2 linked regions of the Saccharomyces cerevisiae S288C genome follow. The protein of the gene in region 2 purifies or fractionates together with the protein of the main gene of each other region. This does not show direct contact. Each region holds a gene or a part of one and is shown on either strand. Other genes may lie near its edges. The genes, in order: YLR257W and NRS1.

Region 1 (3,417 bases), 410 kb from region 2:
TAAACATTGTATGCCCAGGCTGAACTCAGTCACATATATCATCACCAATTACCATTTTCAGGGAGTCTGGTCGCGGGGTCGCGGGGTCGCTAATCCAGGGGCAGTCCAGTGTCAGAATTGGTAAGCTGCAAGAACCCCATAAGGCCTGTCCTGCCTGGCATGATAGTACTAAGTCAGCATCGTGCCGGAAAATCGAAAATGAGCCATGCTCGAGGCCCCATGTGCAGATATCCCTATTCCTCTTGTAGTATCTATTTTTGTCTCTAAAACGATATCCGGGTCCTCAGGAACGAATGATAGAAAATGGATTTAAGGTTTGCTGCTCCATGCGAGATTTTGTAAGGGTTCCATTAGTGATGGCGTGCTTTGCTCAACACACTAGCAGGCGGAAGGACATTCTTGTGCTACGCCTGCAATCTTGAATTTACTTCTCGAAGTATTCATGTTTTACTACCGTATTGTTTTATTTCGCACATATGTACATGCAACTCATCGGTCACTCTAAAAAGCCAGCAAATTTCGTAATCCATGAAATAAACATAAAAAGCCATTACTTGACAGAAATTTTAATGATAGACAAATAAATAATGTATACATATAAATAATTGGAAACTTCATCAGAAGTCACTCCAGTTTCAATATTCCATTCTACTGTGGTTGAGCTTTGTTAGCTGCTTCTTCCAAATCTTTGGTGTATTCTTCATTACCCTCGTCTTCCATCAAAACACCCTCCTTTTCGGCGTCCTCCTGCTCTTCTTCTAAAGTTTCCGGGATAATTTTGGGTCCGTTCTCCAAATCAACTAATGATATAGAGTAGTTGCTGGTACTATACATTCTAGAGTCTTCTCCCTTAGAGGGCGAAACCGTTTTGTTCTTTGTGGGTCCACGACTTATTGACCTCGATAAGGATCTTAGAAACTCAGCCGAAGATTTTTGTCTATCAAAGGATCTACCGCTTCTTTCTTGTCTTTTCTCTGATTTTTCAGGCGCCGTATGATCTATTTCCTGTTCTGCGGACTGGTACGATTCACCCTTCGCCAAATGTGGCCTGTTGGAATTGTTTTTGATCATTTGCCCGTAAGAGTTTCTGATTATGTCTTCGTCTTCGTCGTCTGCCTCACCTGTAATATTTTCAGGGGTGCCTGATGAAGAGTACTTACTGATGTGATCTTCGACAGGATCAGTTGATGTAATCAGTGAATTAGATTTGGAAGCACGCAGAGAAGGAGAGGAAAAACTTTCCGAGTTGATGGATTTATTTCTTTGCTTTTTTTTCAACAAGAGTAGTTTTTTCCTTTTCTCCTCTGCCTCTAGGTCGTCTCTATTGCTGCGAACTTTCGAAGCATCAACATTCTCCAAATCAACTTCGTCGGTCAGCAAAGCACCCTCACGATTCAATTCCGCTACAGATGTATAAGATCTATCTCGAATATCATCATCCTTCTGCATCTTGCTTAGGGCGTGATTGGAACTCGTTTGTGGCGTTAGTAACCTCGAAGCCTCACTTTCCTCATTAAACTGATTAGTATACTGGAAATCCAGACTATTTCCATCATTAACGTTTCTTATAGAATCACCAATTAAACATGGCGTACTACCCCTAGCGTCAACCATTCTTACTTCTCTTTCTCTTGATATGTGGTATATTTTACCTAAATCTCACGATAATATTATTTTCAAGTATGCTAAAAATAAAGGCAATCGAAACACGTGGAAAAGTACTCTTATTAACCAATGTCGTGCGGGTCAAAATGCTATTTCTATCACTGACGAATAGAGAACCTCTTAAAAATAAGTGATAGAGTCAAAGACAGAGCTAAGATCTTTTCAGACGCAAATACTAAGAGACCTAACACTGAGTAAAATAACTTAGCATGTCGTTTTCTATACGCTTGATTATCTATTTATATATGGTATGCATAGTGGCCAGTGCATGCGCAAAGCCTTGCCCTTACCGTGGCTTCGTCAGATCCAACCATTCACCATCCCCTGGATATGAACTAAAAATTTCTCGCAAGGTGAGGTCTAGGCCGACGCCCGTTAAGAACCCCTGCTGTCGAGCTTCAAAACGTAAACAGTTCGTCTCTAGTGATAACTGATAAGTACCTATTTATCAGTCCTAACCCCAGAGATAGATATCGCCTTGCAGTGCCGTATTAATGAAGAAGATTCTTTACGGTATCAAAGCGAAGTGCCATGAGATCGGCTTCACCGACAGAACAGACATGCAAAACGATGATAACTGCAGCTACACGAGAAAAAAAAACAAAAACGACAATCTCCAGGCGGAAAAAAAAGACCGAATACAACACAGCATTGTTTATATCACACTTTCCGTAATGATAATACACAGCGCAATATCTGTATTTTGTATGATCGAACTAATTGAGCGGTTCTTTCTTCAGCGCCTCTAAGTTTATTCGAAGAATTGCCCACTTGATTTAAGATATACGTTATAGCAGTGGTAACTTCTTTATACTTCTTGTTTTGCCAGCCAAAATAAAAAAAAAAAACAAGAAGTTACAATAGGCTAATGAAACTAAATTATAAAAACTTGTTCCTAAGACAATGAATTGTTCCCAATATCTTGATTTTATGGATTCTTGTTCTGTGTAAAAACAATGAGGGAAGGCCACCAGAGAGGGGTGATTAGGATCTTGGCGATATACACTTGAGGGTTGAGTGAATAATTGTTGAAATTTCATTGTTATCAAGAGCTATAATATTAGGTGTACGAATATACCAAGTTTCCCTCGAGAATAGAGAAATCCTCCAAGTGGAGTCGGTAAATCTACATAATAATATCACGGTTATTTCTCCTTCCGTTTTATATATTTCATTATCCCATTACATTATCAGTCCTTGCATTTCAGCTTTCATTAGTCTGATGACTGGTTCTCAATCTTTATGCCATCTTCTTACACTGTATATGATAATATACTAGTAAGATGAATATTAGTCAATAGACAATACTAGGCCTTCATTCCAACAGATTCTTGCTTCAACAGTAAGAAAAAGATCGAATATATGTGGTGAACTGGAGGTCTCAAAACATAGAGAGCAGTGAAAGACAACTGTTGTATTACGGGCTCGAGCAATACCGGGGTCCCTTGACAATCCTAATATAAACAGTCTTTGGGAAGTAACGAGTTGCCAAAAGGGATTATCAGCTTACGGAATGTTACTTATCTTATATATTATATAAAATATGGATCATACTTGATGGTGGAAGCGCGGAATCTCGGATCTAAACTAATTTTTCAGGCGTTTATACGTTTGGAAAGTTCAGTTAAGGAGGCGGAGTTTCATCTCATGTTGCTCATTCTGTTCGTTTTGCTATAAGGTTGTTTCATATGTAATTTAAGAACGTTTAGGATGATTATTATCATACTGACGTACCCCATTCTGAAACACAAC
Region 2 (3,169 bases):
CTATGAAATGATAAAGAATTCTCCAGGGAATGTAATAACGAACGCTAACCAAGATGAGATAGATATAAGCACCCTCAAGACAAGGTTGTACAAGGACAATCTTTACGCTATGAATGACAACTTTTTACAAGCTGTCAATGACCAAATTGTAACATTAAATGCAGCGGAGCAGGACCAAGAAACTGAGGACCCTGACTTATCAGATGATGAAAAAATTGATATACTGACCAAAATCCAAGAGAACTTGCTTGAAGAGTACCAAAAACTTTCACAGAAAGAAAGAAAGTGGTTTATATTGAAAGAACTACTGTTGGATGCAAATGTAGAACTCGATTTGTTCAGTAATCGTGGCAGGAAGGCAAGCCATCCAATCGCATTCGGAGCAGTAGCCATACCAACGAACGTCAATGCGAATTCACTAGCATTTAACAGAACCAAGAGAAGAAAAATTAATAAGAACGGCCTTTTGGAAAACATTCTTTAAGCCAAGATTAACATAAGACAAGTTTGCAAAATCCCCAACTTCACTTCCATATGCATATTCATTTAGGTATATATCGTATATTTGAGAAAAATTCATATATGAAACGTTATTAAAACATGAAAAATAGAATGTGTTATCGGGCTTAACTATATTCTGCCATTCAATGCGTGTTTCTTGACCATCTCTCGCACTACCTCTGACGGTACATAGAATGGGTTATGCTTCTTTGTCTTTTTCGTGTGCTCATATTGTCTTTGGTTCTCGAACTCAACCTCCTGGGTTAAATTTATATTAAAGAACAAGAAATCCTCTATGCTATCATTATTATCTTGAGATTCCATCTCAAATAGTTCAGAAAATCCGGTGTTCCCGAGGTCATCGTATTGCAATTTTTGTTTGTCTACCTCATTACTCAAATTGCTATTGGAGGTGCTTTTGATAGCATCACTACATTTATTATGAAGCATATCCATTAACTCCGTCCTGAGTTGTTCCGACGTGTGTCAACAAAAGGATTTACTAAGAATGTTGTATTTTGAGTTTTAAAAGGACGTGCATATGCACATACATATATATATACATATATGCGTATTTATCATCACTCCGTGCTGTTTAGAAGCTGCACATATTATGCATCTATCGCGATAGTATTGTGAGTTGGAGATAAAGATTTAATCATTTGTGCAACAACCGCTTTCTACTGTAGGCATAGAATTTCGCGCATCCCACCCCTTATTAACAATCACATTTTTTTTTTTTAATATTAATGACTCCGGTGGTCGTGATTGTAATCTTGATAACAATCGCGATCATGATCACGTTCTTTAGCCTCATTATCGAACAGTACTGGAGGTGAATAGGCACACCGTTTATCTAAAAGTTCCATGATCGTGGATTGGTCCCTCAAGATGGAATCATACGTATCTACACCACCGTATCTACTAGTGGTAAATCTCAAAATATCCCCAGTGTTGCCACGGTTCAAAACATCAATGTGGTCCAGTAATAGCTCATACGGATTCGTTCGTGGACGAGGCAGTGCTCCTCTATGAATATTGAACCGATGTTTAATTTTCCACATCTGAGATTCTAATTCAGAATAGTTTCGACGTCTTGCGTCCAATTCTGATTGCGTCCTTGGTTTAACTTCGTAATATAATTGTCTATGTAAGTCTTGGTATTCTTTGGCGAACATAAAGTGATTTGACCTTAATTGCAACTCCAAGCTGCTTGTAGTATATGGTCTTTTCATATCATTTGATTTATCCTTACTCGACCTTTTAATAGAAAACCTCCTGATGAAGTGTGGCACAGCAACCACTCCAAATTTTTCTAGAGGCTTTGTGGGCTTTGTTGAGCTTCTTTTGTCAATTCCAAGGCAAGAAAAGTCGTCTTCATCGGCCAAATATTCATCTTCAAATGTATGTATCGTATCATCAGGCAAGTGTTTATCATCGTAGCCTGTATCTGCTTTAGTTGGAGATTTTACTCGTTTTTGACCACCAGATGTATTTGCGTCGCAATTGCTAATGTATTCTGCACCTAAATACAACTTTTCTAAGTCCGCTGGTAAAGCTGGATCATTGACACCCAGTGGACTTGTCATCGTGAATCGTTGTGTTAAACTAATGAAAGAACCTTCCTTTACATTTTTGTCCACTCTGTTTTTGCCTTTATCTTGATCCTCGTTATCACCATCGGTAAAATCTTGGCCGCTATTAATTCCTGAAGCAACGTTAATACCACCACCAATCCTGCTGTCCAACATCGACAAGGCATGCTCACACCTTCCACCATTTATTGATAGCCCACTTAGTGTCAGTAACCTCGTATAGAATCCATATAGGAAATTTAAATTTGAACACGAAACACCATACTTTTTGGCCAAAATGATGGGCTGATGCAAAAGAATTTGAGCAGGATATTCAAATCGGTGGTAGAAACAATAAGGCTCAAACGGTAAGGATAAATATTCCGGATGTTCGTTTGCCGTAGAGTTGATAAGTTGCAGTTTTTTACCTTTGCAATATTCTACGATTTTCCCAAAATTAATCTCTTCTTCACCTTGTGATTTTACTAGCAAAAACCTTGCAATTTTGCTTCCACATTGTGCAAAGCAAATTCCAAGTAACTCTTTCACCAGATCTTTAAAAATAATTTCTGTGGATTTGTTTTCTAACATTTTCTCATAATCAAATTGTTCATAGATGATAGAAAGGATGTTAAGTGAGATTTTAGGAATAAGCAATTCCCACATTTTCAATGCCATTTGTTTTGGGTCCAAAATTAATTTAGATTTCATCCATTTCGCAACGGTCAATCCAAGAAGGAACCTGCGAACATTTGAACCCTTAATCCCTTGCAATTCTAACGAAGCTGCTTTCGTGTTTTCCAGAATGGTTGGACTTGCTTCAAAATTAGCATCACAATAAGTTAATCCCAAAGTTATTACACATTGATCGTCGTTGACCAATGCATATGATCCAAGCGATAACTGTCTGCATTCAACCTCACACGAAATGGAAATAACACACTTGCACTTCCCTCCAAAATAACTTATGGCTATGGGCTCCAGTTCGCAACCAAAATCAGTGCTAATAAGCACAGTCGTATTGTCGTTCGTGTAATCTGACAACAATCGACAAGTTGTTTCGAAAGACTGTAAGGAAATTGCAGACACTAACA

Evidence for each region.
Region 1: the proteins of NRS1 (region 2) and YLR257W purify together in Saccharomyces cerevisiae (affinity purification with mass spectrometry, with the first as the bait; one study listed by BioGRID). This does not show direct contact.

Annotation. Positions count from the first base shown.
Region 1 is NC_001144.5:657,023-660,439, reverse strand, and holds YLR257W (uncharacterized protein), read right to left. Parts: upstream 1,615-3,417; coding exon 649-1,614; downstream 1-648.
Region 2 is NC_001144.5:247,470-250,638, forward strand, and holds NRS1 (Nrs1p), read right to left. Parts: upstream 958-3,169; coding exon 631-957; downstream 1-630. Other genes in the region: IES3 (Ies3p), read left to right, coding at 1-484; OSW2 (Osw2p), read right to left, coding at 1,248-3,169.